3 linked regions of the Alligator mississippiensis genome follow. The protein of the gene in region 1 interacts with the protein of each later gene in a biochemical or structural test. Links are inferred from orthologs where the notes say so. Each region holds a gene or a part of one and is shown on either strand. Other genes may lie near its edges. The genes, in order: RALA, PLD1 and EXOC2.

Evidence for each region.
Region 2: the proteins of RALA (region 1) and PLD1 form a complex in vitro, tested with the Homo sapiens proteins (2 studies listed by BioGRID). The link is inferred for Alligator mississippiensis from reciprocal best matches to the Homo sapiens genes RALA and PLD1.
Region 3: the proteins of RALA (region 1) and EXOC2 are reported together in a solved structure, tested with the Homo sapiens proteins (2 studies listed by BioGRID, with this or other methods). The link is inferred for Alligator mississippiensis from reciprocal best matches to the Homo sapiens genes RALA and EXOC2.

Annotation. Positions count from the first base shown.
Region 1 is NC_081828.1:124,834,897-124,842,478, forward strand, and holds the start of RALA (ras-related protein Ral-A), read right to left. Parts: upstream 3,040-7,582; 5' UTR 2,938-3,039; intron 1-2,937. UniProt on the Homo sapiens protein: Multifunctional GTPase involved in a variety of cellular processes including gene expression, cell migration, cell proliferation, oncogenic transformation and membrane trafficking.
Region 2 is NC_081830.1:75,709,821-75,717,726, forward strand, and holds the start of PLD1 (phospholipase D1), read right to left. Parts: upstream 3,039-7,906; 5' UTR 2,860-3,038; intron 1-2,859. UniProt on the Homo sapiens protein: Function as phospholipase selective for phosphatidylcholine. Implicated as a critical step in numerous cellular pathways, including signal transduction, membrane trafficking, and the regulation of mitosis.
Region 3 is NC_081826.1:120,569,330-120,577,426, reverse strand, and holds the start of EXOC2 (exocyst complex component 2), read right to left. Parts: upstream 3,087-8,097; 5' UTR 2,980-3,086; intron 2,920-2,979; exon of another isoform or gene 2,802-2,919; intron 57-2,801; exon of another isoform or gene 1-56. UniProt on the Homo sapiens protein: Component of the exocyst complex involved in the docking of exocytic vesicles with fusion sites on the plasma membrane.

The sequences.
Region 1 (7,582 bases):
ACACAACGTGTTCAGGGGAAGCTACTGATGTTCAGATGTTTTTCTAAAATAATTAACAAAGTTGCATTGTTTTCTTAGTTCTTGGTAATGTCCTGTCACGTGGAATATAAACTCAGGTAGTATTAGTAGTGCAAATTATGCCCACATCGTGTTGAGCAAACAAAAACATCTTAGGTAGAGGGCTGTTGCTAGCAGATATCAAGAGGTATGATTAAATATAGTTTAGAAGCAAAATAATCAACACCACTGCATTTTTACTTGAAGTCTGTCAAACATACACGCATGAATAGGACCAGTTAACTGGCTGCTAGAGCTCTATAGACAATATACATTAGCAGCTGCTTATAAGCAGCAGGACCATTTCCTGGGTGGGGGAAGGGGGAAGCTAGGGTGTGTCAGAACTAGAGGAGGTTAGGGGCTAGGAAGGGTCTACGGTGCAGGAGCCACTGAGGTCAGACTGAGTGGGTGGGACTGAGATTCAGAGGGGGAGGGCCTGTGTCTACACTACAGGGTAGCAAGTACTAACAAATTTACAAAGATAACTAAATCCTATATATTTTTTCCTCCTTCAGTTCCTGCTTGACATCTCTAAATAAATAGTTCTTAATCATATCCAGCAACCCTGCTGCTTAAAGATCTTTTAAAGCAACAATAGTAATACACTGACAGCACAATACAGGCTAATCCTTGAATTAGCAATCTGCCATGTGTCACCTCCCAAATAATAAGGCCTTTTGCCTGACATTAAATTCTAATGAGCTCGTGTATATGAAATTGAATGCGATGAAGATGGTTTTACGCATGTTCATGGAACAAGGGAGCCTTTTTATTTCTTCCTTCCTCCTCTTTTTTCTTTCTTTTTTTTTTTCCCCTAACATAAATTGACCCATTTCAGGAGCATTTCAGTTATGATTATTCAGGGGGATCCTAACAGACTCACAAAGATTTAAAAAGAAAAGCAAGATGTTTGCATGCACGCGCAGATAATAGTTTTTACAACAGTGAATCTAAACAGACAACTGAAACAGGATGTAAACTATTCCAGCTTATTAGTCAGCATCCCTTAACTACTTGCTTTCCATTAGTAGATATCATCTTCTATTGCTCTTTTGGCACAATTAATCTCACTTTACAAGGCATCTACTTCTATGTATTGTTCCCAGAAAGAGTTTATGCACAGAGGCAAGCATGAGATCACTGCACAAGCACATCTTGTAGTCATGCTGAGAACTCCACCCTTGCATCAACTCATGAAACTATTTGTGGTTAGTATAAACGATCCCTTATGACAGCAGCACAAAAAAAAACTCCAACCAAAATTGGTTCTTGAATTAGAACAGATTAACTGGGGGGCTCCTCCATGACAGCTGGAGTTTGTTATGACATGTCTCATTCTTAAGGCATGTGCTTGTTTACCCTGAACATTAAATTTTCCCAGCCCCGAGCAGAACCCAAAGTAACTCAAAATCAGAGATAAGCATAAATAGCGGAGGAATAATTCAGTGTTCCACTGCAAGACAATGGTTCACAGCTCATTTCCAATGCAAAAGGGTTTTTTTTGTTTGGTTGTATTTGGGGGGGGGGGGGAAGAGAGAGAGAGAGAGAGAGAGAGAGAGAGAGAGAGAGAGAGAGAGAGAGAGAGAGAGAGAGAGAGAGGGTTTAAGAGGGGAGGAAAGCAAGGGCATCACTATTCATTCCTACCACAGCTAACTACCTCTATAAAAAGCAAGGAAGAGAGAACAGAGCAGGGGCTCTAGTTTAGTATACTATTTTCACCACCTGAAAGGACTTTAGGGGCAGTTATGCTTGACAAGAGTTGTCACAGGAGTAGACTAGAAAGGGAATTGACATTTAATGTGCAAAAGTCACTCAATACTTCCTTATCCTATTATATTAACCAGAACAGGCTGAGTGGTCCGATTTACCTACCATTAAATGGGTCTGGAGAGAGACTTTTCCTTTATACACCCAACTATACCTGCTGAATTGAGCTGGTAAGGAGGAAATCCAAGCACCAGGTTCCCCCAGAAGGTAAGCAATTTGCTTTTACAAATAAACCCCTTCTCACAGCTCAGTCTTGCTTAACCCCCCAAGGCCTGACTTCATCCTAGGTGTGATATGTTGCTGTGGAAACCAAGCAAGAGAAGCTACACAGGCGTTGGCAGCTGGAGACTTCTGCATACAAAGCTGGACGTTTCCGACACCTCCGCCCCGACAGAGCACGACTGCCTGGCCCAACCCTCTAGCCGTTTTCCATTACTAGATATCACTCTCCATTGCTCTTCTGGAACAACTATTCTCACCTTAGGAAGCATCTACTTAGACATTTTATTTTTGTCCAGAAAATAATTTTTCATTCCAGGTCAAATCAGCCAAGTCAGTTCTGAATCCACCTGATGAAGCAACACTCCATCGTTCAAACACCATCAGGATTCAAATTATGGGGGAGTCTTGGAGGGCTGAGCCCCCCCAGAAGAGACGAGAACCCTCCCCACACCCATAAGATTTGAAAATCATGACCGGGGGGACTCTGATTTTCTTAGGGCATGGCGATGAGCAGCCCCAATTTTTCTGGCAGACCCCAAGTGTAATTCAAACCCTGTGTGGCGCTACGACCAGCAAGTGTCCTCCAGCCCAGACTCCTCAGCCTGGGGCTGCAAAGACTCCCAGATCCCTTCTACTAACCTTTGCAGCGAGAAACGCGGCGCTAAAGGCAAAGGCTTAGGAGTGCAACGCCCCGCCCCGCCGGGCAGCGAAGCTGCAACCCGCGGCTTGTGCTGGGGCTGCAGCGGGCGGCGGCTCCTTCAAGCCCGCTTCCCTGCCGCGCTGCCACGGGGCGGCGCTTCACACACGGAGCAGCGGGGCAGGAGGCCCCGGCCCCGGCCCCACACACACACCCACCCCCGGGGACGGACAGGGTACACCGCCCCGCCTCACCTGCCCCGCGCCGCACCCGCAGCGCCGCCCGCCGAGACGCGCCCGCTTGGCGGCAGGAGCCGGGGCCAGCCGCAGCCGCAGCCGCCACACACTGCTTCCGGGGCGTGGGGCACGGGGCGGGGCCAAGAGGCGCAGCTGCTTCCGGGGGCGGGGAGGAGGGGTGTTGGCGGCGGGGGTGCGCGCACAGTAGGCTCAGGGAGGCGGCGGGGCTAAGGAAGGGGAGGGGAAGGTGGGGCTGTGACACAGGGGCGGGGCCAGGCGCAGGGGGCGGGGCGTGTGTGGGTGGGGCGGGCTGGGCGTGGGCGGTCTCCGCCCTCGGGTTAACCCTGGAACCTAACGGTGCCTGCTGGGGGAGTGGGATGGATCCTGCTTTTCTTTGATTAAAAAACAAAATATCCCCAATTTTCAGCTAAAAGAGGTAACTCAAAAGCCACATTTTTCTGTGATTAAAGTGAAATACCACTAATATATAGATATACATACATAAGCATTTAAAAGGCAATGTCATGGTTACTGGGAAATGGTCATGGTCAGAAGGACTGGGGAAAAGAGGAAGAAGGAAAAACCCCTTTAAAGCTGCGGTCAGGAAGGAATTTGACCCAATGATCAGACTGGTACAGACTGGGCGGGGGGGGAGGTTGCTTTCCTCTGTAGTGGGGGACATGACCCTCTGCCTGGGATCTCTTAAGCATACATTGACAACATTTCATAGAAGCAGGGCATTGGTTCCCCTGCTTGACCTGTGGCAGGTTAGAGTGTTTGATCTGTGTTGTGTCAGGGTTGAGTTTAGATTATGGATTGTGTAGACTGGTTTAGATAGGGGTGATCCTGCCTCAGGCAGGGGTCAGCGGTTCCCAAACTCTGACAGATTGCGCACCACCAATTTGAAATGACACAACCGTATGTACCGCCAGCAAATTTTTCAGTTCAACCTTAAGTACCACCAGCAAATGTTTGGCATAAAGTAATTGTAATATATCTGTTAATGCATACCACTGACAGATTGTCTGCATACCATTGGTGGTATCTGTACCACAGATTGGGAACTACTGGACTAGATCACCTCTGAAGGTCCCTTCCAGCCCCACTTCTATCTGATTCTGTGACTTGATGATTTTATTTAAGGCAGTGCCCACTGGGTTGTAAGGAGCAATGACTGGCATTTTGGAAAATCCAAAATAGATTAGGTAAGCTCCTTGATAAGTTAGGTAAATAGTAAAAATGCAAGAGAGTATCACATGAAGAGGAAAAAAAGAGAAAAGGGGAAGAGGCATGCTTTCCAAGCTCCTAAAACTATAGTGAATCAAGTGTTTCCTGGAGGTGTGCCAGAAGTCAACATGTCATTAAACAGCAGCAAGATAGTTCACAATGGCCTGATCTTTAACAGGCCTTGCATTCTTTATGTAAATAATACAGTGGACAAATTGAACAAAAAGGGAGAACAAGGGAGATACTGCATTAGCAAGATCTGAACAGATTTCAGGATGTGTAACCTCTCCTTTTTTTGGTTCTTCCACTAAAAGTTTCTGTTCTTAACTGTGGCTATGTAAGTGTGATTTGTACATTTTTCATACATATGATGCTGGATGCTAGATTCGATGTGAAAATTGTCACAACCCAAAGGTGTGATTTTTGTTTTTGTGTGTGCTTTGGCACCACTGAATTATTTTCCCGCCGTTTGAAGCTTTCTTTGCAGGGTGCATTTCTTCTTTGCAGCATAAAAATGCACGTTGCAAGGAGTTCCCGCCATTTGTATTTAAATCGAGCCCCATTATTGGTTGTTTTTAAATTATTCCCACGTGGCGGCTAGCGATTGGCTTGCTAGCCATACAAGAGGCTTGGGTGGTTTCCGCCCAAGTCGGAGAACTTTGAGCACGCTGCAGAGTGCCTCTACGGAGATTTGACCTGCGGCTGCTGATCGATAGACTGATCACCTATCGATTCTTCTCCCCGTCACCGAGTGCAATCCTCGACGTATCCCTCTTCCCTGCGCACAAACAAGGATCCACGGAGCCTCGACAACTCCGTGAGAGCGAGAGTTTTGTCCGAGTCCTCAAACGGGGATTTAAGCGGAGCTTTACCTGGGAAACTTTCCAGCCTACACCGCGACCATCTACGGTGTAAGTAAACAATCTTGACTCAACCACTAAGCGTCTGTGCCTAGTTCTAGCGTGTCGCCTGCTTTCTCCAACCCAGCGTGTCTGGGCTGCTGGCCACAGCCCACAGCGCGAAAAAAGGGCCCCGGATCACTCCTGGCCCGCACAAAAATTAGTACTTTTCTTGATTTCTTTCTATGCTGCATAGGAAAAGTTAAATTAAATTATTTTTAGAGTGAATATTAGTGAATTTTAAGTTATGTCCCTAATTCTGTTGATTAGTCCAAAATATTTTTACGATCAACACATGCTTTTCAGGCTAGGAAGTTAGTCAAGACTCAGATACAGCACCATGCTTGCTTGTAAACCATTGTTTGGAAAAGGAAGAATATTTGAAGAGACCTATTTTGTAATCACAACCTGGGCCATCTTTTTTGGGGAAGTTGGTAACAAGATTGTGCTTGAATAGCCTCCACACGTGCTGGAGGCTAGTGACTTGGAAAAATGGTGGTGGGGAGTGGGGCATGTGTTGCTGGATAACAAAGACATGTTTTGGTAGCAATTAATTTAAAAACAAGTATTTTTAATGGAGATAAGGAGGATCTTAGGTATTGTTCAAGTAGCAAGAAGCAGCAGGGGAAACACATTTAAAAAGAGCAAGTGTGTTTCTTGTTCTTTAGTAACCATTTCTTACACTCATAAACTTAAATGGGAGTTTTGTGGATGAACTCAGTAAGCACTTCAAGATTTAACCCCATGATATAAAACACAACCCAGTTAAATTATTAAACTAACTATAAGATATAGATTTTTGATTAATCAAACCATGATACAGTTTAGCAGTATGCCCCACTCAGAACATCTTCAGCAATTAGAGCTGGTTGAGTATTTTCACATTTTCAAAGAAAATAAGGTGAGAAAATATTGTTAACATTTTGAAAAAAAAAAAATGACCAGCTATGGAACTGGTTAAAATGGTCTAATTTTGAAATTTTCAGTTTTTGACCTACTCCACTGATCATCTTGAAAACTGAGTCTTGTTAGTTAAAGCAGCAGTTGTTGTCTCTGTAGCTGTACAATGAGCACACTTTATTATAATTCAATATTGTTCTTTGTGCTCAGTTTTCTCTAAGACATGGAATCCTAGGCATTCAGCCAGTGCTTGATCAATTTCTCTCTGGGATTCAGCTTATTTGGCCTCAATTTTTGTTATGAGCTAATTTTTGCATCTCTCATAGAGCCCCAGAAACAGCATGGCTTGATATCATAACATGGGAACACTCCAAATCAATTCATTTTAATAAAATGCTCGATCTTATGGACATGTTCACATAAACTGACCTAGCTTTGACCCCATAAAACAGAGTAAGACAAATCTGATAGCCCAGAGCTAGATCTGTCCAAATCTCTCAAAGATGATAAACAGATGTAAAATATGTTGCATGTCTCAGCATGATAAGAAATTCACACATTAGCTGCTTTTTATGTTGGCACAGATACTGGCATGGCAAGAGTAAGGAGCTAGGGGTGAGAGCTGCCGATCTTTGAACATCTGTACAATGTTCAGCTCTGTGGAGGTTATTCAACATCTTTGAACATCAGCACTACGTATAAAAGAGACCTAGGGATAATAATTGACCATAGTATGAACATGAGCTGGCAGTGCGACACTGTAGCCAGCAGGGCAAATAATACTCTGGTGTTCATGCATCGCCAGCAAAACCAAGGAAGTGATTCTTCCGCTCTACTTGGCATTGGTGAGACCACAGGTGGAGTACTGCATCCAGTTCTGGGTGCAACACTTCAACAAGGGCATGGAAAAACTTGAGAGAGTCCAAAGAAGGGCCACCCGTATGATCAGAGACTTGCACGGCAAGCCATACGAGGAAAGGCTGAGGGACCTGGGACTCTTTAGCCTGAAAAAGAGAAAGCTGAAAGGGGACTTGGTACCAGCTTACCGCTACATCAGGGGCGTACATCAAGGGCTCAGTGAACAGCTGTTCACCGGGGGACCCTTGAGGCAAACCAGGAGCAATGGTCACAAACTCCTGGAAGGCCATTTCAGGCTCAACATTAGGAAAAACTCTTCACAGCTAAGGTGCCCAGGCTGTGGAATAAGTTCCCTCCAGCAGTGTTGCAATCGCCTACCCTGGAAATCTTCAAGAGGAGACTGGACAGTCACGTTGCTGGGGTCACTTGACCCCAGTTGTCTTTCCTGCTTGGTGCAGGGGGCTGGACCTGATGATCTTGTAAGGTTCCTTCCAGCCTTGCAATCTATGAATCTATGTATGTAGTATGGCTGTTTAATCCACCATGTTCTCACTGTAAGTATGGCATTGAGCTATTGTTCACCCTCTAGTTTGCAGCTACATAGTGCTTCCTAGTACTGGAAGAACCTGAAAATTAATTATTATTGTTGCCTACAGTGACTGCTCTAGTTTCACTATATCTGTCAACTATAAAACTTGAAATCCCATGGAACCCCAAATATTCCTTATTGCTGTGAAGGACTATCAGTGGCCAGAGCTAAGAAGTGTCATGCTGTGCAA
Region 2 (7,906 bases), on another chromosome or scaffold:
TGTGGCAATACCAACACATTGCTAATTCATGCTTCCAAGTTTCTACCAAGACTGCTAACTAAATTCACGCCAACCAGCAATCAGACCAACATCTGTAGGAAGAAAAAAAATGTGTCTTCAGCTTACAACAAGGAAGATACAAAACTGTACCTGGTTGCACAGTTTGCCTGTGAAATTATGTATAAAAACACTGGTTGGGGAAAGCAAAGCCACTGTGATACACTGGGTTATTTTCCATAATGTGAACACACTCAAAGAATCAAAACCTTCATAAAATCAGTGACGTATATGTTCCTTTGATTTTTTTTAACTGAGAGCTAGCAACATTTTACAGTTTTGTCATATGATCTATTCTGCTACACGAAAGAATGAATCGTTTCATGAGAAATGAGTAACGCAGAGTTGCTACAACAGTATTTTATAGACAGAAACATTCTTAGCAGATCCTAAAAGATCAGAATTGTGATCACAACAAATTGCTGGCTCCATCTCTAAGGATGCAACAGATTTAACTCAACTTCTTACAGCACAGGTGGTAACTTAAATGGGAGAAGCTCATTTCTGGAGCTTCTGGCACAGTAAAACTCAATTTACCTACATTTTTTCTAGCAACATTAGCAGAGACATATTACAGATTTCCAATGGTCCTGAAACACGGGCTTTTAAAATATGGATCTTGTTTAAATCAGATATCAGATTCTTAAAGGAATAACACCTAATTTTTAAATGGCATGAGAAGAACTTAAAGAGCCCTACCCCATTTAAAAAAAAATGCTGTTCTTCCTTAGGTTTATATTAATGTCTAGCTATTGCTAGATTCAGCAGGTTTGGAATCAAGTCTTTTCTGGTGAATTGTATATCTATCTTGGACTCTTAGGGTATGTCCTCACTACACAGTTAAGCCTCTTACAGGGTTTTTCTTCTAACCCCCTATCTGTCCACATTAGAAAACCTGTGATCCAAATCTGGAAACTGTTTTGAGTCTGAGCTTGCCTTTCCAAGAAGAGGTGTGGGTTAGAGAAGTTTCTGCTTTAGCATGAGCTGGAAGCTATCTATTTTGCTACAATAATACAAACAAAATCATTTAAGTGCTAACAGTCCACCAATACCCTTTATACCCTTTCCCACAAGCACCCCAAAGAACAGACACGTGAAGCAACTGATAGGGGGAAGGATGCCTAGAGCAGCGAACACTGGGATTTGTCCCCAGATACACACAGACCAGTACGGAAATAGGAAAACTCAGCTGTGCAGGAAGGACTTGGCTGGGGGAATGCTTGCAGGTGGCCTTGGCTAACTTGGGTGTTCAGACCTCTGCACTAATTACCAGGGTTAGCTTTGCTGGGAAGACAAACTTCATGGAGGTTGGATGCCTAACTTCCTTAGGGAGCTGTGAAAATCTCATCCCATCAAGTTTCCAAACCTTGGAGAATAAGTGCTTTCCCTCTTATACAAGTAGCTCATTAAAAATAAATATCACTGGCAAATGGATTTGGTTTATGCTAATAGGCTCCACTGTTATTTGTATTCCTCAAAACTAACATCTGGGTTAGCTTAATAGGGAGGGGGCAGGGCTATCTGTTTTACCAGATTATAGTGCCATAGAAAGGACATAACTCTCCCCACCGTTGTAGGCATTTCACCCTTATTGCTTCAGCGGGATTGTACAGGCACAGTTAAAACACTATGTAGATGCTAATGCATAATACATGTATGCTTGTCATATACAGTAAGCCGGAAAAAAAAATCAGCCTGCAGAGAAAAAGGTGCAACTCCCTTAAACTCAGTGGAAATGAATTCGCTTGTATCAGGCCTGAATTTGACCAGTATTTATGCCTCATAATTTAGCATTCAATGCCTTCAAAGCTCAGACTTCAATTTTGAGAAGAGAGTGCTTTAAGCTCACAGCGAGCAAAAGGAAAGCAGTACAACCAGGTAAAGAAACCTCTCATTCTGAGCAATCCTTCTGTGCTTCCTCCAGCAGAACCGGTTCTTCAAAGGCACGCGGAGAATTCCCAAGTGACTGAATGCTCCGAGGTGGCAGTTGTCAAAAGAAAGAAGGCTCCCCTGACTCTTTCACTGCTCCTGGTTGTAAAGTATGCCAGCCAACATGCAGCGCGCACATCCTTCAGCGCACAGAAAACAGACAGAAGCTACTGACATTCACAACAGACTAGTGAGAAACTACCAAGAGTTTACAAATTTTCAGACATCCAAAATGCTAAGTAGCCATTTCTTTTCGGTGTGCTCGGCAAGGTATTTGAAGTGTTAAAGATTAGAAAACAATCAGGGCCTGTAGTAGAGATGGTATCTTTTATTAGACCAACACGATTTTTGCAAAAAAAAATAAAAAATCTTTAATTGTAAGCTTTCAGGAACAAGACAAATGTGACCAAAGCTTGCAATTAAAGAATTTTTTTTTTTTTTTGCAAAAATCTTGTGGTCTAAGAAAAGATATTGTCTCTACTATGAGCCCTGATTGCTTTTTCCTCTAGGCCAATACGGCTACAACCTGGATACCTAAAGACTACAAAGTAATTTTGAGAATGGGCTGTGAGGCTTACAAGTAAATGTAGTACCTTTGTAAGAGCAATGAACTTGGCATCCAGCCTCCAAACAGCCAAAAAATACAACGTTCAAGCAACACATTCATTTGAAAAGCAATGCCAGATGCTTAAGTTCCCTTTTTTTTTCTCTTCTGAAAAGGGCTTAAAATTAACTGCCTCTCCCCAAACAGACAGAACACAATGATCTTAAACAGTTTTTTTTAATCAGCTGCTCCATGTTAGCTTGAAAAACACAGCGAAACAAAATGACGTATGGCAAGAAGTGAAAAACTTCCAGTCTTTCTTTACTAACCTTATGCCCCTGTGCACGTAGGTGCCTCATGGTGCCGTTTAAATGAAAAATCTCCTCTCCTATGAAGTGATTATCCAGGACTGTGTTACTATGAAAAAAATAACCACAGAGGAAATCTGCACAGACAAAAGCTGTGTCTTCCTAAGTGCTTCAGTTCAAGTATTCAGGCTGGCTCCCTAAAGGCAAGATGAAGTGAGACCCAACCCACAAGGCACTTCAGCCTATAAGAATCACTAATGAAGTGAAAACCACTCCCATATGTTAAACTGAATATTAAGAAACACACAAAGGGGGGCGGGAGGAAGGGCAGGATGCGGCGGGAAAAAACCTCACAGGCACGGACTGAGCTAATGATTCCTGCTACATCTTTATTTTGTACAGTATCCGACTTGTTACAGTATAACAAACATTAGAGACACATTCTGCTCTTAGTTATTCCAACTTTACACCAGTATAAATATACGTATTCACACTGATTTACTGAACGTACTGGAGCAGAATTTGGGCCTTACAGAGTGACCTTTCCCTCCTTCTATACTCTTCTCATATAAAAGCTACACATATTTTAAAAAGAAGACAATTTTCCTTCTGCTACAGTCCAGAAAGAATTATATTTGGATGAAGGAATAGAGAGAAAGTCGCTGCAACTGAACTGTGAATTAAATACATTTGATATTATTCTTAGCATAAGACAAGCTAATAATTATGGTCAAATTTAGGGTCTTTGGGTCTCCTAATGCTATCTTTTTTTAAATTTCTAATGCATATTACCAAAGCCCTTTTTAATACGGAGAGCAGCAAATTCTTTTGCGAGACAGAGAGAGAAAGCGACAGCAAGTATTAATGCTTATGGCCGTTCTGAACTGACATCTTGGTAAAAATGCCTGAAGCCTAATTATAGTAATGCAGTATCCAGCACTGCAGCTCCACTGACAAAAAGGTAAGGGTCTGAATTTTTTCCATGTAAAAATAAACCTAAGATAGTGGATACTACAATTCAGTCTTCAAGACTGCCTCTCTCAAGATTTCAGCATAGAGAGGGGTTCTGAGTTTTAGGACAAGACACTTCTTGAACTGAATTACAAAGTAGATAAAAAGCCAACCTTAATCACTACCAACCAGAGGGCAAATTCTGTTTCTGGTCTACCGATGTAAATTTAGCAAAACGCCACTTACTTCACTAGAGTAAATGAGATTACAGTAGGGCCTGGCCTTTAAGCAATGTTTTAATTGCCAACATAAGCTCAGCAGGACTCAAACTACATTAGCTGAACTGGTTTAAAGCAAGTCTTATCTAACATGCTTTAAACATTTTTTAACTTGCTCAGTGGTTCATATCTAGGGTGCCACAAGGACCCCCTTTGGGGTGCTACAATTTAGGCGGCCAAGTAATATTAGGCCTCTCTGATACAGCAGACAAAGCTGGATTGGGCTGTAGCCCCTCCTGGTCCGGCCCCCCTCATGCTCCTTCCCACAGTTCAGCCCTGCCTATTTCCAGGAGGAGCAAGGGGGAGGCAGACCAGGAAGGGCTAGAGCAGTGGTCACCAACCAGTGGATCTCGATCCACCAGTAGAAGTCGGAGCCTCTTGGAGTCGATCCGAGGCTAGGGTCGGGGGCTGAGTGCCTGCGTGCCCCAGACCAGCAGGTCAGTCCCTGGGGGAGTGAAGGGGCGGGGGCTAGATCGTGGCCCCCAGTGACGGACAGTGCCACAGAGGCAAAAGCAGGGGTAAGTTGAATGGGGCCCCGGCCGGGTGGGACTTACCTGCTGGGGAGGTGTGCCACCAAATCATTTTTTCTCCCTCTGCCTCGATCTGCACCCCCCTTCCCTCCCCACAGATTTACCTGCTATGGGCGTTGGGGGGGGGGGGAGGGGTTGATAATGGTGCACAGTAGATCTTGGCTTGCTTTTAAATGTCAAAGGTGATTCATAGATTCATAGATTGTAGAGTCAGAAGGGACCACAATGGATCATCGTGTCCAGCCCCCGGCCCCTGGCAGGAAAGAGGGCCGAGGTCAGATGACCCCAGCCAGGTGACTATCTAGCCTCCTCTTGAAGACCTCCAAGCTAGGTGACAGCACCACTGCTCTTGGAAGCCCATTCCAGATCCTGGCCACCCTTACTGTGAAAAATTTCTTCCTAATACCTAACCTAAATCCACTCTCAACTAGTTTACACCCATTACTCCTAGTCACTCCCTGGGGTGCCTTAGTAAACAGCGCTTCCCCTATTCCCCGCTGACCTCCCCTAATAAATTTATAGGTGGCCACAAGATCTCCCCTCAGCCGTCTCTTGTGAAGGCTGAAGAGATTCAGCTCTCTTGATCTCCCCCCGTAGGGTCTATCACAAAGGCCACTAATCATGCGAGTGGCCCTCCTCTCGACCCTCTCCAGATTCTCCGTGTCCCTCTCGAAGTGCGGCACCCAAAACTGGACACAGTACTCCAACTGCGGCCTGACCAGTGCCGCATAGAGGGGGAGCATCACCTCCTTTGTTCTATTAGTCATGCACCTGCTAATGCACAACAAGGTGCGATTGGCCTTGTCGATGGCCCTGTTACACTGCCGGCTCATGTTCATCTTGGAGTCAATTATGACTCCAAGATCCCTCTCTGCCTCCCAGCTGCTGAGAAGGACACTCCCCACCCTATAGGTGTGCTGGGGGTTCCTCCTTCCCAGGTGGAGTACCTTACATTTATCTCATGAACGACGTGTGGCCCCGGAGGCTGGGAGGCACAGTGAGCTCCCGCAGGCGGCGACAACACTGCCAGCAGCAGGAACGTGGTGAAGGTAAGTGGGGAGCTGCCGCAGGCAGCCGTAGCACTGTCAGCAGCTGGGCAGGGGGGCGGGGGCACAGCGAGCGCTATTAGTCGACGACCACCCGCAGACACCACCGGCAGTGTCGGCCAGCAGCAATTGCGGACCACCCGCAGGCGCTGACAATGTCAGTGGTGCCTTTTTACAGGGGGGACACTGCCACGCTCCAGGGGTGCACGCGCACCCACATGCACCCCCTACACATGGCCAATGGGTGATCTACTTAAAAGGTTGGAGACCACTGGGCTAGAGCCTGAGCTAGCTCTGTCTGTGTCAGGGTTATCAGAGAAACATAATGCAGTGGGAACATGGGCACATGCCACAGCCCTTCCTGGGCTGGCTGTGCACAGGCATGCAGGCAGTCTTACTGGAAGTGTGGCCACATCTAAAGAAGTGGAGGAGGGCAAAATCTCTGAAAAGGCTGAGAGCCACTGGTCTAGCCCATGTGTATGGGGATTATAGTCTAGAATCAAGTTTAAAAGCCCGTACTGGATCTCCTAACTGGGCTTGTTTCCATTCACATTTTTCAGCCCAAGTGGTTTTACACTGAGGTAGCCCATATCCACTGAACGCTGTGATTTAAAGAGGTTCAGCAAATCTGATTCTTGACTCATATGCAGATAGGAGCTCAAAGGCATAGATACTCCTATCAAGAAGAGGGACAAACCTCTAGACACGTGGCAGAACCCTACAGAAGAGAATTACGACTATTCAGAATGCCACCTCCCATCTCCATCATAAGGTAGAGGTAGGGTGCCGGTTGGGGGAGGGAAGCTAAATTATACAGTGGATCCTGGATTTTTCATTTAGGGGTGGCAGTGGGTTACCAAATTAAGGAAGAGCTTTGCTTGCTGTGGCTTTTACTTCAAAAGGGAATCACTGCTCCACTCGGCCAGAACGCTGACTTGGTCTCATGTGGCTGATCAGAGCAGTGATGCCCTTAGAAATAAAAGCTGCGGCAAGCAACCAGAACATCTCATGGCTCATTATAACCTACCTGATCCCTTCTAAACTCTGCACCCCACAGGTGTCAGTGACCCTCTCTTCTTTTTAATGCTCTTGAGGAGATCCTTCGTTCTGCAATTCTGGGGTCTGTTAGCTGTTCCTGGGAATGCAGCTCCTATTTCACAGCCCTGAAGCTTGTTTTTAACTCATTCCAATGAAGTTATATTTATTTTTTGCTTCAATCTTAAACTGCATAATACAGCCCTTGGCCCCTAGTATATTAATGACGCTCCTAGTTTATTTTTAATTGGAGAAAAATGTGTGTTGTTCTGTATGTGATGATGCACCTCACCATCTGCACCCCCCTTTTCAAAGTACTGCCCATGTTGCCAGCCCCAGAAGGACAGCATGATGTGTGGGCACTCCTGCCTCACAGTTCATTCACCCCCTTTACACTTTGTTCTCCTGTGCAAGGACCAGTGAAAAACAAAGATTTAAGGTTCGCTCTGTTCCAGAATTCTGTACCATCCAGCACCACAGCCTACTTGCTTCTTCCTTTATCTAAGAGTTAAATTAAAAAATGATACGTCTCCAAGAGTGTTGCAACAAATCCTTTCCAGCTCATGAGCCTTAGCTCAGTTAATGTGTATTTGTCTTCTTCCCGTACTAAGTTAAGTTTATTCTGGCAGACAGTATGATTACTGCAGGATCAGCAACAACAGGTAACATTTTTCCAATGAATATTTTGGCATTGCTGACAGCCCAATCAAGCAGCAGAATATTCTAGGCTCACAATTCCCAGTCCCTCCTCTTAAGAGCCAAAAAGTGGTGCCTGCACCCACTAGAGGTTTGTTACCTTTACCATAACATCCCCTATTTCAGATATAACCCAACAAATGAATACTTGGCAGCTCTCCTTCATCATATCTTGAGGTATTATGAAAAAGTAGTGTTGGCTAAAGCTAGAGAATAGGGCAGAGATCAGAAGTTGTGCTCCTGATATTCTGTGATGTTTGGCAGATCCTTAAGGTCTACATGCTTTTCCATATCTGTGAAAGAAGTATATTAACACTCACCTAAGTCACAAAGCGTGAACTTCGTTTAGTTCATGTAAAGCTGTTTGAGGTCCTGACAATAGGGATCCAAGTTGCTGCATTCTGTAAATGCAAAGTATAAATATCAGTAAGTTCCTTGGCTGTGGCTGAGCAATTTGTTTTCTTCTTTTCTAGATTTTCTATTGACAAATGCCTCATCAGCAGGCCTCACACTTGTATATTTGAGAAAGAAA
Region 3 (8,097 bases), on another chromosome or scaffold:
GAGTTGTTCAGGGCATGCCTATGACTCTCAGTCTGTGGGTCAAGTTCTTTCACCACTTCTTGCTGGGTCAGTGCAGGCTGTAATAGATACCACAACCACAGGGGACTGTGTCAACCTTCTGTGTTTCTTCTTCAGACAGAGAAAGTGTAAAGCAAGGAACAGGATGATTTTCCCAGGCCAAAAACTTATTGTTTTTGTTTTAAAAGGATCTAATGGCATTTTTTTCCCATCCTAAAAAAAATGGAGTGAACTGGTGGTCAGAAGAGGTGGTATATAGTGGTACAGATAGCCAAAGATAAGCCCTTCAATTCACTATTTCATGTAGGTCTCCACATACCAAAAAAGGAAAGTGCTTTAGCCTGATGAAAAATTTCATAGTAATGTTTCTGATATCCCAGCAGAGTGTGTACGGGAGCCTAGAGTTAATTACAATACAGTTTTATAGATACAGAAATCTGACAAGAACTCTTCTTAATTTTTAGAAAAAAACCCTAACTTTTTAAGAGAACGCTGCAGCAAACAAAGCTTGACATCATTATCCCAACATTATTTAATTCATTTACCCTCAACTGAAGTAGAGGAGTTTCTTGGTTTAGATTATTTGTTTTAGGAGTCATTTACTACAGACTTATAAACTTTGCAAGCAAAAATGTTTGCAGGCAAAAATTTTACAAAAGCTCGTAGCACCAGCAAATCACGTTCACCACCATGGAGTTCTCCTTAGTGAACTTTTAAATAGCCTGGGACTTAGATCTGAAAACTCCATCATCACTAGAAAAAACAAGATATGCTAATTAACGCAACAGTCAAATAATGTAACCCAACAAGCAATCTTGGTGGAGAATAGACAGTGCTACTACTATTTTTGTCTAGCCTACTTTAGCAAAACAGTCCCTGACAGGAAGTTTACAGCAGTAAATACACAGGGATTGCTTTAAAAACAAAACAGACACTGAATGTTTACAAGCCAGGAAGTTCCACACTGCAGTAGGATATGGTTTTATCATATTTGAAAATGTGGCTATTTACAGCTTCAAAGAAGATCGCAGTTGGTGAGAGGGAGCACGAAGGTGCCTGGTACCTTACAGGAGAAGGCCAGTACACAAATGAGGATTTTCTAGCATTTATTCAATTAAGATTGCTGAAATCTGAAAATGGGTAGTCCAACCTGACACAACTGTGGCCATAAGGAACAGCACATGTGATGAAAGGCTAGCACTGCAAGTGGGGAATCGAGATCTGAAAAGGGGCAACATCGTGTGGGACAAAACTCCCAGTGAAAAAGAGAAGAAATCCTAAAGATGCTGTTTTATAGCAGCAGCTTCTCCCCTTCTCTCCCCAAACAAACCACTCAGCTCTCCAAGACAGGCCCCGGTTCTTTAACAATGGGGTAGGTAGGTACCAAAGGGATGACAGTCCAACAATCCAGCTCACAGACCCCTGTTGTCTAGAACAGTGATGCTCCACCTTTTAGCCTGGCAAGCCAGATGGCCAGTGCCAGGTCTGCCCACAGGCCAAATCTGGCTAATGGTCCTGATCTGGCACCTGGGATGGGTGTAGAAACTGCCTGGAGTGCGTGGGGGTAGCCCAATCCCAACCTGGCCCCATGAGGGAGAGGCAGCTTGACATGGTCCCAACCCAACCATGGGCAGGGGGGGAGGAGAGGAGGGGAAAGGGGCTTGAACCAGCCCCTTGGAGAAGGGGTTTGATCTAGCCCAGAGGGAGGGAAGGGAGTTTGACATGGTCCCAGCACCATGAGAGGGGAGGAAAGGGGCATGATGTAGCCTCATGGGGGGAAACAGGGATTGACCTGGTCCTGCAGGGGATGGGAAAAGGGTCCTAGCCCAGCACGAGGGGGCAAAGCTTGATGTTGGCCCAACCCAGCCACTTGGGTGGAGAAACAGCTAGACTGTTCCCAGTGGTGGCAGATGACAGAACAAGGAGCAAGGGTCTCAAGTTGCAGCAAGGGAAATGCAGGTTAGAGATCAGGAAAAACTCACTAGGAATGTGGTGAAGCACTGGAACAGGTTATTTAGAGAGGTGGTGGAATCTCCATCCTTGCAGGTTTTTAAGGCACAGCTCAACAAAGCCTTGGTTGGGGCTCGTCCTACTCTGAGCAGGGGGTTGGACCAGATGACCTCATGAGGTCTCTTCCAACCCCAATTTTTTATGATTCCAAGAAGGCCCGGCTCAGCCCCAACCCAGACACGCAGAGAAGGGGGTACAGCCTGGCTCCCACCCACTGCAGAACTCGGGCTTTGATAATCTGGCAGCAGAGAAAGGCAGCCACGACCACAGCTCCCTTGCTGCCAAAATCTTCCCGGCCCACAAGGGCCGGATGCCAAGGCCCTGCAGGCTAGAAGCTGAGCTCCAGCTTGGGGCTCCCCAGCCAGTGGATGCTGCGGAAGCTAGGCAAGGTGCCACCACAGGGCACCGGCACCAGCAGGGTCGCCAAATCAAGCCCCCAGACTGTCTATAGGAAGTGCAGCCACCGCCACAGCAAGAAGGAAGAGGAGAGGGCTCTATTCAGGGCTGCCAGAGCTTGGCCACCAACCAGGACCAGAGGCAAGCCCCACCTCTGAGCAGGCAGCAGAAGGGACAGAGAAACCCCTGCACCACCACCCTATTGTCTCCTTCCAATCCCCCCCCCCACCATTGGCTCGTTCCCCCCTCCCCCCAGAACACGTTGGAACCCTTTTTGCATCAACACCCCCTTCCCACACAGGACTGGCACCTGCCGGTGGCACGAGCCAGCACCCCCTCCCAGCTAATGGAGCTTCCTCCACCCGTACAAAACACACCCGCGCGGGTCAAACCACCAGATCCAAGGGGGGGAAGGGGGCAGGTGCCACAGGGATGAAAGAAGGCACCAAGTCTCGCGGGGGGTGTCGTTCGGTCGCTCCGTCCGGCAGCCCGAGGGGCGGGGGGCAAGGAAGGTCTGGACCGAACGGGTGGGGGAAGGGCGGGGGCGTCACTCACCAGACGCCGCGTTAGTATCCGGCACCTGAGACAGCTGAGCTTCCCGGCCGCGCCCCCGCGTCCGGCAGCGCCAGGCCTGCCCAGTCCGCCGCCGAGCGCGTCGATCGCCCAGCCCAGCGCGTAACCCCGAGCAGTGGAGCCGCGGGCCACTCCCTGCGCATGCGCCACAAGGGGAGGGGCGTGGTTGGAGCGGGGAATCCCCTCAGGGCTGGTGCGGTGGGGGGAGGGGCTGGCTCGAGACGCTGGGCCTCGCGTCACGTGGGCGGCTCCGTCCTGTGCGATCACGCGTGACGCGGAACACAGTGTACTGGGCGAAAATAACAGTAATCCTCCTATTGCATTATAGTAAACGGTGAATAATCGTAATTATGACCAATAATACATCATAAAACCAATAACACGCAAAAATCATAATGATGATAAAAGAGAATCGTAACTAATAAATGATGAATCAGATAATGACAAACACTGAATGACACTAATAATACATGATAATAACGATAATAAAAATAGTAACATACTATTATTATACTCATTTTAATATTCTTATATTTAGGGTGTATAATGAATACTATATTGTAATCACAAGATTATATAATTGTATACAATTTATGTATAGTAAATACTATTTTATCATTACAAGATTATATATCAAATTATATTGTATTACTGTGTATAATAAATGTATTTATGATATATATTTTATGATATGGTTTTGATATATTTTATATATATTTATGATTTTATTTTTATGATATAGTTTTGATTTTATGCTTTTTAATGATTTTTTATTTTATTTTTTATTTTTATGATTGTATTTTTATGATTTTATTTTATGGTAGATATTTTAATTATATATATTAATTATTAATTTTATTATTTTATTATATATTTTAATTATAATGTTATATTTGTTATTATAAATATAATGATTATTATAGTTGTTATTACAAGTTGTTGTTTCATTAGTCCTGTAGCCATTAGAATTAATTGGGCATCTCTTATGTCAGACGCCTACAACAAAATATGGCCATCCTGAGCATCTGGACCCTGTAGCCAACACTTCACTGATGGTGTCTTCTGCACCTGGGTAATAATGTTCAGTCATTTAATGTCGCCACACCCCAGTGAATGCTTTTAGCTGGGGTTGAGAACTGTCCACAGGGCTGTGGAAGAGAAGCTAGGTTACTAAGAGAAGCTGCCAGACAGCAGTTTTGTAGAACAAAGGCTAGCTTGACTGGTGGAACATCAAAACCATTAAAAAAGGGAGAGAGGGTTGTTAACACCTGGAAAATTAAGCATTTAGATAGGCTGTAATGGGCCATGAAGTCGAGTGACTCCTTCAGCTCTGCCTGACTAAAAATGCTGCTGCCACTGCCTGGAAGTTGTTTCAAAATTTTGAGTGGAACAAGAATCAAAGGAGCTGCAACTTGCAGCACTGCAGCCTCCTCCCTCTGCCCCAGATCCACCCTTGACCTGGGATGTAGCAATCCACTCCAGACTTAGCAGCCATGAGCACCTGGTGCAGGGCTGACTTAACTTCATGCACTTGAGTGCATGTATGCTCAGGATCAGGGCCTCTAGTCTAGCCTGCCTAGATTGAATCAGTTTGCAAATGTACAGACATTCCCTCTGAACTGAAGAAATGCAGGCACATGCTTGCAGTGGCTCATGCTAGAAGCCAGGGGATGCTAGAGCAGCTCTCCCTTCCCCTCCACAGTACTAAGCTGAGGTGGGGCATGGCCAGGCCTGGACAAGATGCTCTGAGTAGGGAGGGGTGTAAACCCCAGCCCTGCCTGCACCGTCCCAGGCTTTTCCTGCTGCCTGTTCAAGGGGTAGGAATGTTGCCAGACCCTGCATCTGTTGATAGTGAGATTTTCAATCTCCGTCTCCCTGCTTCCTCAGCCTGTCTGCAAACCAGGTCATTTATAACACCTTTCTCTGTCCCCTCTTGAAGACTGACAGATTGCAGCCAGTAGGTTGTTTGTCAGAACAAAGTTTATCAGCCCATCAAGACCTATAAAAGAAAAAAATCTCTCTCATTAGTTTCAAGCTCTTTTTATTTACAGGGTGCATTTGCATTTGCAAGCCACTAGCTGTCTGCCCTTTGTTCCAGTGAAATTAGAGACCCAAACAGACACCTCAGCATTAGCTAGCATAGGGAAGCATGGCCAGATAGCATGTCCCTGCACTGGGGTCCGTGCCATGGGAGAGGGGTGGGAAGGGGGATCCCTGCTTGAGCAGCTGAGGAGGAGGGCAGACAGGGGGAAGCCTGGCAGCCGCTGCAGTCCCTCAGCCAGCCGGAGCACTGATAGCTCTGGCTAGGAAGGAGAGGGGTGGGACCAACCCTGCTCTGCTCCAGTAGACAGCCCCACCTAAGGCTGCACCTAAGGGGATCTGGGATGCTGGGGGACTCTCATTTAAGTTAAACCAGGAAGGGGTCTGGGACAGACATTGCATAAACCAGTTTGACCCAAATCAGTTAAACCTGGTTGAATATAGTATCAGACTTATCTTAAACCAGTTTCAGCCATTTTCAAACTGGTTTATGTGCACTGAACATACATAGTTCCATTACAGGATTAAACCAGTATCTGATCATTTAAACCGGCTTATATATAATGTCTGTCTCTAGCCCTATAGTTTGGTTCTGGCTATTAGCCAAGTGTAAATTGGCCACATAATTATATTTCCCTCCATATGAAAAATGAATTGCTGGAGGCTGGGGGAAACTTTTCAAATAATTCAAATAGGGACACAAAGTTAATAAAAAGAGTTTGTCCAAGAAAAATTGAAAAAAATCTGTGATACCATTTGGGAGAATGGAAATGGAATTTTAAATCAGCTTCTTCCCGACTATTCTCCACTTAACCAGTTGTTTAATCAGTTGTTTCCCCAAACAGCTTCCTTCCATGCTGCCTGACTCTCCAAGGAAGTGATAGTCTAGGGAGGTAGCAATGCCAGGGAGAACCTGGACAGACAGGAAACCAGGCAGGCTGGCAGAGTCCCTAGCAGAAGGTTTTGATTCCATCAAATCAGCATTTTCAGAGGGCCAAAAGTTTTCCAACGGAATATCCGCCCCCCCGGCCCAGCTTTTAATGCCTTCTTGAAAGGCCTAACAATAGAAAGGAGCAGAAAGCTTGTTGTGTTTTCTTTATTTTTGCAGGGCTCTCTGGCATTTGGTTACAAATACCAATGTAGGATGAAAACTGGAAAAAAAACAAAAAACAAAAAAAGAAGGGGTGGGTAGAGGTAAACACTTACAGTTACACTATCATTAAACCAGGCCTAAAATTGGTGTACCTTTTAAGTCCATGTCCTTGGGACTGCTAAAAAAGGTATGCACTTATCCAAACTCAAGGTCAGCATTACTCAGTGTTCATCAAGTGCAAAGCACAGTTGGTCCTGTGGTTTTAGCAGTCCTGAAACTAACTAGCTGCACTCATTTTCACGGTTTCTAGTAATTACTGTCTGGGCTGCTATTAGAAACCTTGAAAATGCAGGCATGCAGTCATGAAGCTGACTAAGTCCTGTCATTTTCTCCTTATTGCATTCCAGTCAGAGTTTCTGCTTCACCTAGAGTATACTCAGTTACAGTTGCAGTTAGAGTGCAGTCACTATAACCAGAATACAATTCTGTTACAAAGCAGACACGGGGGCTGAAAAATGCTATGCATTTCAGCACTTTAAAGAAATGCAAAACTGTAGGATTCTTGATTCAGAGATTATACCTTTTATGAGACCAAATAAAAAATACAATCGCAATAAAAAAAATCTTTTTTCTGCAAGCTTTTGGGCTCACACACCCTTCATCAGGCTCAGGGAAATTAAAGATGGTAAAAAGTCCCCATATGTAATTTTTTTTTTGTGATTTCTTAGTTGGTCTAATAAAGGTATCATATTTGAACCAAGAGTTCTACATTTCTTTTTGCCTCAGACCAACACGACTACCCAATACATCCCTTTCAGCACTTTATGCACTTAACAGAGAAGCAAGTAGCTATTAGGTGTATGTAAAACGGTCTGTATTCGATTCAGATTCGACCAGAAATGGGGACAGTGATGCAATTCATTGATTCAGATCACTGTCCCAATTTGATTCAGAATCTGAAGATTCAATGCTGATTCAGAGAATCAGCAATTCAGCCATAGACACAATTTAAAATGTTTTTTCTACATACCTCGAGGTACCAGGCACAGTTTGTGAACACTGCGATGCTGGGGCAGATGGAGCATCCCACAGGAGCATGGGGGCAAACCACATGCTCAATGGTGAACCCAGAAGTGGACCAGAAGTACTTCCCGTCCACTTCTAGGTCCTCCGCTGAGCGCAGGGGACCCCCCCCCACATACACACCTCCCCGGTTCGGCAATCAGCCGTGGGGGGACCCCAAATGGCCCCCCAGACCCAGGATACACCAGTCGCCAAGCCAGGGAGCATGGGGAGGGCCACCCGCATGCTCCCCAGTGACCCGGAAGTGGACTGAAAATACTTCTATTCCACTTCCGGATCCACTGCCAAGCACGCTGGGGACCCCCCCCCCCCCCCCGTTCTCCCATGGGACGCTCCATCTGCTCCAGCATCACAGCATTCACAAGCCACCTGGTACCTTGAGGTATGTAAAAAACATTTAAAGCTGTGTCTATGTCCAAATCATTGAATCTTTCCAAATCTGAATCAATTCAGAGGGAGAAATTAAAGAGTCTCCTGATTTGATTCAGATTTGAAGATTCAGCCGCTGAATTGGGCTGAATCTACGGCGAATCAAATCAGTGACTGAAGCTTTGTGCAGTTCTAGTAGCTATAGCACAACAACAGTCTCCATTTATTGACTCTTGGTTTTATATATATATAAACGATTATTCAATTTTCATGGAAACCGCAATTTCAGGTGAGCTCTGTGATTCTGGCAGGCTTGATGGAAAAAGAATACACAGATACACACAAAAAAACTTACCAGCGAGCAGAGAAAAGACCAGGAAGCCCTGCAGTCTTGCAGCATGTGGGGAAGGTAGAGCGGGGAGGAGAGGGCAGGGCAAAGAGAGGAAAGGGAGCAGGGCAGGGTTTCTTGCAGCAGGAAGCATGGAAGCTGCCTCTGTACCTCCTGCTGTGAGTAG